3 linked regions of the Sus scrofa genome follow. The protein of the gene in region 3 binds, or shares a complex with, the protein of the main gene of each other region. Links are inferred from orthologs where the notes say so. Each region holds a gene or a part of one and is shown on either strand. Other genes may lie near its edges.

Region 1 (2,302 bases), on a different chromosome or scaffold from region 3:
AGCTTCCCCTGGGCAGTGAGTTTGCCCTAAAACCAAAGGAGAGTGGCCTTCGAGAAAACACACAAAGAGAAAAGGGGCAACCCTCTGCTCCTCCCTCCTTCCCCTGACACTTCCAACCAACCATGGGGTCAGCCCCAGGAGAGGACAATTCCCGGTAAGGACCTCACGAGTGCTCTGGCCTCATACCTCAAAGCCCCGAAGTCTCCCCAGGGTCATCATGTCATTGCAGCGCTTGGGTACAAAGCACATGACCTCCACAGCTTGCTGGGACACAGGTAAAGAGAGGAACATGGTCATGGTTGGGAAAGAGGCCTCATCGGACCATGTTTCGACCCTCAATCAGCCTCCTCCTAAAAATGAGGCCGCTCTACACCACCCAAGGAGCTGGAGGAATCCAGGACACGAAGAAGATAAGGTGGGCATGATGTGTCCCATGAGATCTGGGGTCCTCACCTCCAGCTCTTCGGTATCCATCCCAGCTCTACTATAATACTTGAGAAAATCCTAAGACACAGAAAAGAAATGCTCAGGGAGACCATGAGGACGTCCTGCCCTGGGGACACAAGTGCAGACCCTCAGGAAGTCTGGGCAGGGAGCCTGAGGAACCCTGGGGAGATGAATGAGGACAGGGCCATCCCAGCCAGCTGTGCCCCCAGGGAACAGGTGGCCCTGACCTTGAGCAGCAGCTGGTATTTCATGATCCTCTGCACTGGTTTGATGAGGAGGTCATTGAGCTGCAGGCGGTGCCCCAACTGCTGCCGGAGCTCCTGGGGACAGGGACAGACAGAGTGGTTTTGCAGCCTGGAAAGCCTGCTCGTGCTGATGATTCTGTTCCCCTTCCCCCAAGGCATCTCGGCCACTGACCTCAAAGTAGCTGTCCCCAAATTCTGACACCACATGCTCGGACTTGGGTTTATTCTGACAGTAAACCACATACATATGCAGCCGGCGCTCCTAACAGGGGTGAAATTTAAGAAAGAGTAGAGTGAGTGACGAGAGGGCATATCGCCAGAGAGCCCTGACCCACTCCCAGAGCCCACTTCTCCTGGGCCCCCACCCTCTCAAGGCTCACATGTTTGATGAATAGCTGAGCCAGCCAATCAGGATCCTTCAAACACCGCTGTAACTCCTGCAGGAAATAGCTGCACCGGTAGGCAGGGAAAAGGCAGGTCAAACACCCTCACCCCAAGCAATCCAGAGCTCTCTGCCCTAGTAGTGTCCCCCACAAGTCTCTCCAGACATTCTTCAAGCAACACTGGGTCCATGGGTAGGATACAGACAAATGCCCTTCCCCCTCGCCCTCAGGGATCCACCACTCACTCTCGATGCCACTCGTAGATTTGCTGGATGTTCCCAAACACGATCCTGTCACGGCCTCGGAGATTCTCAGGGACCCCCTGAGCAGCCATGGTGGCCATATAACCCTGTGGGAAGGTTGGGTGGGAGCATCTGTGTGTGATGCCAGCCCTGGCAGGAACCTCCCCTCCCCAAGAAGTCCAGGATGTAGGGGAGCCTGCGAAAGTGGGAGAGAGGAGCACCAAGGCATCCCCTAACATTAGCCCTGGGGAGAGGGAAAGGGCAGGGCCAGGGCTGGGAAGGAAGAAGGGAGCTACCTCCACAATCTGCCCCAAGTCGTCCACATACATTTTCTCTGTCTCTACCAGTTCACTCAGGACATACCTGGGAAGAGAACAGGTTAAGCCACTTCCTCCCTCCTGGACTAGAAGCCCCTTGGTTCCTACAGCCAACCTCAGAGGAAATTTCAAGTCTCAGATCTAAAATGCGAGAGACAGACATCTGGAAGTCGTGAGGGGTCTCGGGAAGGGAGAGTGTGCGGACACTTACATACTCCTTTCCAGAGCCTTCTTCTTCTGTTCCTCCTCATTCTCAGAAGCTTGGGATAAAGTCTCCTCTTCAGGTGGCTGGAAGGACGAACAACCTAGAGTAAGCAAATGGACGCTCTTGGGAGAGAGGAGCTAGCCCAGACTCGTTTCTTCATACCTGCGTCTTATCCTGAGGCCCCCCCAACAAGGTGGTCAGCAGGGTCAGTTCTGGCAGCTCCTCTCCTGTAGCTGGAGCTGGTTCCAGCATCCAGTTCTGGGGGCCAGAAGTCAGGGACAGTAGCTGTGTCTCCCCAGTGACTAGTGGCCCCCTGGATGCCCTCTCTCCCAGGGTCCTTTGTGGATGTCCTACATGCTTCTGTGGTGTTCCCTGCTCACCTCGTATGGTCCAGCCTGGCCACCATCTCCCTCAGTTTCCACACTGAGACAGTGTTTGGAATGATCCAACCATCTTCTTAGGC
Region 2 (3,500 bases), on a different chromosome or scaffold from region 3:
CAACCTTGGGGTACTTGGAATGTAGCAACCTCTTCGTCTCATTGCTTACCTAAGGAAGTTACTAAGATACATTAGAAACAAGGAAATCAGGCCAGCTGTGCTTAATCCTGCCTTCAAACTCACATAGGCACTTTTCAGCATCCCTATGCCTGGGCTTCATCCTCACATCAATAAAGTCAGAACCTCTGGGAGGAGACTTGGGCGTCTGTAAATTTTTTACACTCCAGAGGCCATTCTAGGGTTTTAAGTCCAGTGGCCAGGGTAGAGAAAGTCTCAGACAAGGTGCAGCTACAGAGTCAGCCCTTAAAGGATCAGAATAAACTGTTTTAGACGTTAACCAGATTAGGAGGTTAATGCCCAACAGAAAACAGCACATCCACATCAGCATGTATATTTATGCATTACATTGCTCAGTCCCAAGGATGATGTTTCAAATTCATTTCTCCCCTCGATGGTCTGAGCCCCAGGCTCGCTTGGCACAACACACTCCGGGTGTGTATGTGTACCACTGCACTTTCAACACACTACATTTGCCTGAATAATATTTCTGCACCAACTATTAGCAGAATTCTCAGTTCCTTTGACTCAAACATCTCAAACTTGAAAACCCACACAATACCTAAGAAGCCCTTCACTTGTGGCAACAAACTGCCCCCAAGAGCTTATAGCCTGGGGCACCCTGGTCTGTTGACCTTTCCAACTCAATCCTACAGGAATCTTTCCACTGACCCGGTGTTTGTGTGTGTGCCTGCATTGCTGAAACATTCTTTGTTTTTGGTTTGGTTTGGTTTGGTTTTTGTAATCTGTCTTCTGTTAAATGAATCAGGTGCATGAAAGAGGGAGAAATTGGCCTGTCCCAGCCACTGTACCTTTGAAACGACCTGTTGCAGTTTTCCAATAAACAAGGCCCTCATACAGAAGGGTCCTCTCTTTACTCATCAGCGCCTGCTTCCGAAAGACGTGGCCGTTTTTGAGCTTGGTGTATGTTTTGTTTTCGATCTTACTTAGGATCTCAAGCCATTTTTGTTTTTTCTCATACTCGCTGACTTTTAAATCCACGGCTGCAATCATGTCTTTAATTAAGCAAAGAGCTTTGCATAAGTCTTTCTGTTCTTCAGTGCTCTCTGCATGGGAAAAAGAAAGAACAAACACCATGAAATAAGCCAGTCTTCTAAGGAAGATACTTTTTCTTTAGTTTTAAATACAGTTAAATATATGATCCAGACAGCAAAAAATTCTGTAACAGAAATATTGGATTAACTTCAAATACTCTGTCTTCACTCTACACCCTTCCTCCCTAAAAGGATGGTTAAAATAGGTCATTAAGAAGATTTATTTATCAGATGCTTCATCTGAAACACTGTGACCATGCGATTGCCAGGAGTTCCAGAGACAGGTCTGACCTTCCTCCCTAGAGCAGTGAATGTGTTATATCCCAAGTTCAGTTTTCCTTCCACCTTCCCAGACAATAATATTCCCAGAAAATAATAAGTATTCCAATAATCCCCACACCAAGCTTCTTAGAATTTAACTGAGCTACAAGCCCAAGTTCAAGTCCTTTCCCGAAAGGGAACTGCAGGGTGACTTGAATGGGTCCTCAACTCATTTGCCTTCCTAGCTCCCTTTCTCCATAAAAAATACTATTCAGGAGTTCCCGACATGGCTCAGTGGTAAACAAGCCTGACTAGTATCCATGAGGTTGTGGGTTCGATCCCTGGCCTCGCTCAGTGGGTTAAGGATCTGGTGCTGCCGTGAGCTGAGGTGTAGGTTGCAGATGCAGCTCAGATCTGGCATTGGTGTGGCTGTGCTATAGACTGGCAACCTCTATATGCCACGGGTGCAGGCCTAAAAAGACCAAAAAATAATAATATTCAAAATTACAGTTTAGTACTGCATTAGCATAAAGATAAATATGTTAATGATATATATTAAAACATTTTTCAACCTAAAAAAAAATGGGACCAAGGCAGGGTGCTGAGTGCGTAAGTCCGCCATGCTCATGCCAATAAAGTAGATAATCAGAGTTCCCGCCGTGGCTCAGTGGTTAAGGAATCCGACTAGGAACCATGAGGTTGTGGGTTCGATCCCTGACCTCGCTCTGTGGGTTAAGGATCCGGCGTTGCCGTGAGCTGTGTGTGGTGTAGGTTGCAGACACGGCTCGGATCCCGCATTGCTGTGGCTGTGGCTGTGGTATAGGCTGGCAGCTACAGCTCTGTTTGGACCTGGGAACCTCCATATGCCAGGGGAGCGGCCCTAGAAAAGGCAAAAAGACAAAAAAAAAAAAAAAAGTAGATAATCATCATGCCAGTTGTTAACTCCTTGAAATACTGGCCAAATCACTTATCTCTAGATTATTTTTTAAAAATTCTGGAGGAGTTTCTGATACAATCTCCTGGAGGTCCAGATGAAACTAAATTTAGCTATTTTTTTAATATTTGATTTAAAACCCCCAGGTAGTTGATGTTTATTGAGGTGAATGGAACTAAAAGGGAAAGTTTTGGGAGATCAGAAAAATCCTAGAAGGAGAGGAGAAAAGAAAAACAGAGCAAATGACCTATTCTCTAGAGTCTAGAGCAACAGAAATAGCAGCAAAGTGGAACAAGAACAAGTCCTCCAAAGGGTCTAAATGATCCAGCCTCTAAATGTTTTCAAAAGATGCACGCTGGCTTTGTCAGGAAACCAAGGAACAGATTGTGACACCCACTGTTAACAAGGAAGATTTTCCCACTGCCCGTGAAAGAATACACTTCCTTTATTTCACTACATTACTCCACCTGCCACCCAACTAAGCAGCTGCCCTTCCAAAAAAAAAAAAAAGAAAAAAGAAAAGAAAAGAAAGGTACTTCTTTCTAAAGAGCATATTTCATGTATAGGAAAGTTGAGGAGAGATAATCCAATCAAAGCTGAGTTACAAGGTGACTTAGAGTAAGGCCAGGAAAAGGCTTGGAGACTGCAGATCTTCGGGGACAAATTACTGTCTTATAACAGCTTGCACAGAATGTGCAGCATCAGGCCCACCTGGGAGTCTCATTAGAAAGGCTTACCTGGGGTTCTACCTCAGACCTACTGAATCAGAGTCTTTGTGTAAACAAGGTCCCCAGGCGAAGGGTATCAAGTTCAAGTTCGAAAGGCACCGCCACAACAGAGCCACATGAATTAATGTTCCCAGAAGCCAGAGAGAGAACTGGTTGGAAAGATCCAAGCGAACTAAGGAGATGGCAGTCCATTCAGCCCCTAGGACCACCCTATCTGAGGAAGTCACACTTCTCATTTCCAACACACAGCAGGCAATCCGTTCATGCATTCTACCTGGAATTTGGCGTGAGATGATTCTCAGAGGGGCACGAACTGACCTAACACCATCTGACAGAGAGAATATAACTGTAACACAAACTGAAAGTCTTGATTTTGTTTTCATTCTTTTACTAAGAACAAAATGATGAGGCCTTCCCCTTTCTCTTTTTTCTTTTTTTGACTGTGCCCATGGCATGCAGAAGCCA
Region 3 (3,500 bases):
TTCCCAATGTGAAATACATATGAATATGGCGGTAGTTCTCATCAAGCCCACCTGTCCCTTCTGCAGAAAGACCCAGGAGCTCCTCAGCCAATTGCCCTTCAAAGAAGGGCTTCTGGAATTTGTCGATATCACAGCTACCAGTGACACCAACGAGATTCAAGATCATCTCCAACAGCTCAAGGGAGCCAGAACAGTACCTTGGGTCTTTATTGGTAAAGCGTGTATAGGTGGATGCATGCACTGATCCAGTAAGTATGCACTAGAGAGGGGAGCTCTTGACCCGCCTGGAGCAAATTGGAGCTCTGAAATAGTTACAGAGCAGACCCAGGCTGCTGGAGTCTGATAGCCCCCTTGAGAGCTGGATGGCAGTGCAGATAATGACAGCGCTTCCTGGTGGATGGACACAGGGCTACCTTCACCCAGCTGCAACAACTGTTTACTTAAAATTCTGAAATGTGTTAACCCAAATAATTGGGGGGGGGAGTGGGATTTGGGGGGAAAAACCAGATTTTTCTTCTGACTCCATTATTAAAAGTGGATCAACTTGCCCCCCCCCCCAAGAGGCCTAATTCTCTACAGGCTGTATGAATAGCCTAACATGCAAAACAGTACCAATTGTTATGCAAAGTATACTCACCTGCTTTCCATCCACCTCGATATCTGCAACATAGTTTTCAAACACGGTAGGTACATATACCTCCGGGAATTGGTCCTTGCTAAAGACAATGAGCAAACAAGTCTTGCCACAGGCTCCATCACCAACAATCACCAGTTTCTTCCTGATGGCAGCCATTGCTGAAACATAAAATCAAAGTGTTGTCTAGAATGCACAAGAAGCCATAATAGTCTCAGGCCATGACAAATACTTTTCTGGCCATGTGGCACAAGCCTTTATTAACACATCAAAATACAAAATGCTGGAGTTCCTGCTGTGGCTCAATGGGATTGACAGTGTCTCTACTGCTCATGGGCTCAGGTTTGATTCCCAGCCTGGTGCAACGGGTTAAGGACATGGTGTTGCCACAGCTGTGGCGTAGACTCCAACTCCAGCTTGGATTGCCTGAGAACTCCATATGACACGGGGTGGCCGAAAAAGGGGGGAAAAAAAAGAAAATAAAACACCAGTATACCTTTCCACTTAGGACCAGTAAGTCATATCAAAAACCTATAACTAACATTATACTTAATGGTGAAAAGACTAAAAATTGTCCTGCAAGATGAGGAACAAGACAAGAATGTCCACTCTTTTTTTTTCTTGCCTTTTCTAAGGCTGTACCCATGGCATATGGAGGTTCCAGGCTAGGGGTCAAATCGGAGCTGTAGGCGCCAGCCAGAGCCACAGCAACGCAGGAGCCAAACCACGCCTGGGACTTACACCACAGCCCACAGCAACGCCAGATCCTTAACCCACCGAGCAAGGCCAGGGACTGAACCTGCAACCTCATGGTTCCTTGTTGGATTGTTAACCAATGAGCCATGACGGGAACTCCAAGAATGTCCACTCTTGACACTTCCATCCAACATAATATTAAAAGTTCTGGCAATTAGGCAAGAAAATGAAATAAAAGACATTCAGATCAGAAAAGAAGAAGTAAAATTATCTTAATTTGCAGGTGACATGATATTATACATGGGAAATCCTAAAGGATCCACTAAAAAACTATCGGAACTAATAAATTCAGCAAGGTTGCAGGATACAAAGTCATCACACAAAAAGCGGAGTTCCTATTGTGGCTCAGCAGTTAACGAACCCGACTAGTATCCAGGAGGATGCGGGTTTGATCCCTAGCCTTGTTCAGTGGGTTAAGGATCCAGCATTGCCCTGAGCTGTGATGCAGTTTGCAGAGATGGCTAGGATCCCACGCTGCTGTGGCACTGGTATAGGCCGGTGGCTACAGCTCTGATTGGGAACCTCCATATGCCACTAATGCAGCTCTAAAAAAACAAAACAAAACAAAACAAATCAATTGTATTTCTATACCCTAGCAATGAACAAATTGAGAATGAAATTAAGATTTTATTTACAATAACATCAAAAAGAATAAAATAAGAATAAACTAAGCACAAGAAGTACAAAACATACTCTGAAAACTTAAATACTGTTAAATGGGAATATCCTACAAATTAATCTACAGATTTAACACAATCACTATCAAAATCCCAGCTAGCTTCTTTGCAGACACTGACAAGTGATCAGAAAATATGCATGGAGGGAGTTCCCTGGTGGCTTAGCAGGTTAAGGATATGGCATTGTCACTGCTGTGGTTTGGGTTCGATTCCTGGTCCAGGAACTTCTGCATGCTGGGGGAACAGCCAAAAAAAAAAAAAAAAAAAAAAAAGAGAGAATGGAAATTCAATGGACTCAGAATGGCCAAAACCATCTTGAATAAGAGCAAAGTTGCAGGACTCACAATTCCTGATCTTAGAACTTACTCTAAAGCTACAGTAATCAAGAAAGTGTTGCACTGTTGTAAAGACAGACAGATATACAGCAGAAACTGGCACAACACTGTAAATCAACTATATTTTAATAATAATAATAATAAAAAAAAAGATATGAGCTGCCGCTGTGGCGCAGAGGAAATGAACCCAACTAGTATCCATGAGCATGCAGGTTCAATCCCTGGCCTTGCTTAGTGGGTTAGGATCCTGTGTTGCCATGAGTTGCTGTGCAGGTTGCAGATGTGGCTCGAATCCTGCATTTCTATGGCTGTGGCATAGGCCGGCAGCTGTAGCTCTGCTTTGATCTCTAACCTGAGAATTTCCATATGCTGCAGTGTGGCCCTAAAGAGACACTCTCCCCCAAAACAAAACGAAACAAAAAACACATAGATTGGAGTTCCCATCGTGGAGCAGTGGTTAATGAGCCCAACTAGGAACCATGAAGATTTCAGTTCAATCCCTGGTCTTGCTCAGTGGGTTAAGGATCCGGCGTTGCCGTCAGAGACGCAGCTTGGATCCCGCTAGATTAGACCCCTAGCCTGGGAACTTCCATATGCCGCGGGTGCGGCCCTAGAAAAGACAAACAAACAAAACACACAGATCAATTGAGTAGAACTGAAGAGTTTAGAAATAAGCCCTTGCATTCAGGGTCAAGTGATTTTCAACAAGGATGCCAAGACAATTCAATGGAGGAAGAAACAGCGTTTTTAACAAATGGTGCTCAGACAACTGACAACTGAATAGATACATGCAAAGAAAGGAAATTAGAGCTCACATCAGATGAAAACTAGCTCAAGATGGACTACACTCCCAAACATAGGAGCTAAAACTGCTGAATGTTCTTAAATTTAAAAAAACAGTAGGAGTTCTTGTCGTGGCTCAGTGGTTAACGAATCTGACTAGGAAACATGAGGTTGCGGGTTCAATACCTGGCCTCACTCAGTAGGTTAAGGATCCAGTGTTGCCATGAGCTGTGGTGTAGGTCACAAACGTGGCTTGGATCCCGAGTTGCCACAGCTGTGGCATAGGCCAGTGGATGCAGCTGTGACTGGACCCCT

Evidence for each region. The genes of interacting proteins can lie anywhere in the genome.
Region 1: the proteins of RHOA (region 3) and ARHGEF25 are in contact, whole or in part, in a crystal structure (PDB 2RGN), measured with the Homo sapiens proteins. The link is inferred for Sus scrofa from reciprocal best matches to the Homo sapiens genes RHOA and ARHGEF25. Residues at the interface, in NP_001300870.1 of Homo sapiens: Arg5, Tyr34, Pro36, Thr37, Val38, Glu40, Asn41, Val43, Asp45, Glu54, Trp58, Asp59, Ala61, Gly62, Gln63, Asp65, Tyr66, Asp67, Arg68, Leu69, Leu72, Pro75, Asp76; in NP_891992.3 of Homo sapiens: Tyr163, Val164, Glu167, Thr171, Met174, Tyr175, Asp178, Cys253, Lys256, Pro257, Glu260, Ser264, Arg275, Arg281, Leu282, Asn285, Asp286, Ile289, Lys290, Val292, Gln293, Arg294, Met296, Lys297, Gln299, Leu300, Leu301, Cys327, Pro330, Lys331.
Region 2: the proteins of RHOA (region 3) and ARHGEF28 are in contact, whole or in part, in a crystal structure (PDB 6BC0), measured with the Homo sapiens proteins. The link is inferred for Sus scrofa from reciprocal best matches to the Homo sapiens genes RHOA and ARHGEF28. Residues at the interface, in NP_001300870.1 of Homo sapiens: Arg5, Val38, Phe39, Glu40, Asn41, Tyr42, Val43, Glu54, Ala56, Trp58, Arg68, Leu69, Leu72; in NP_001171164.1 of Homo sapiens: Lys1140, Ile1142, Arg1144, Glu1145, Val1146, Ala1147, Asn1148, Glu1149, Phe1154, Ile1156, Ala1158, Ser1159, Ser1160, Pro1163, Glu1164, Met1165.

The regions. Positions count from the first base shown.
Region 1 is NC_010447.5:22,876,726-22,879,027, reverse strand, and holds part of ARHGEF25 (rho guanine nucleotide exchange factor 25), read right to left. Parts: coding exon 2,220-2,302; intron 2,098-2,219; coding exon 2,002-2,097; intron 1,940-2,001; coding exon of another isoform or gene 1,923-1,939; coding exon 1,846-1,922; intron 1,681-1,845; coding exon 1,614-1,680; intron 1,425-1,613; coding exon 1,321-1,424; intron 1,143-1,320; coding exon 1,073-1,142; intron 955-1,072; coding exon 865-954; intron 768-864; coding exon 675-767; intron 505-674; coding exon 454-504; intron 265-453; coding exon 187-264; intron 27-186; coding exon 1-26. UniProt on the Homo sapiens protein: May play a role in actin cytoskeleton reorganization in different tissues since its activation induces formation of actin stress fibers. It works as a guanine nucleotide exchange factor for Rho family of small GTPases.
Region 2 is NC_010444.4:83,033,254-83,036,753, reverse strand, and holds part of ARHGEF28 (rho guanine nucleotide exchange factor 28), read right to left. Parts: intron 1,125-3,500; coding exon 870-1,124; intron 1-869. UniProt on the Homo sapiens protein: Functions as a RHOA-specific guanine nucleotide exchange factor regulating signaling pathways downstream of integrins and growth factor receptors. Functions in axonal branching, synapse formation and dendritic morphogenesis.
Region 3 is NC_010455.5:31,928,708-31,932,207, forward strand, and holds part of RHOA (transforming protein RhoA), read right to left. Parts: intron 3,388-3,500; exon of another isoform or gene 3,372-3,387; intron 796-3,371; 5' UTR 794-795; coding exon 638-793; intron 1-637. UniProt on the Homo sapiens protein: Small GTPase which cycles between an active GTP-bound and an inactive GDP-bound state.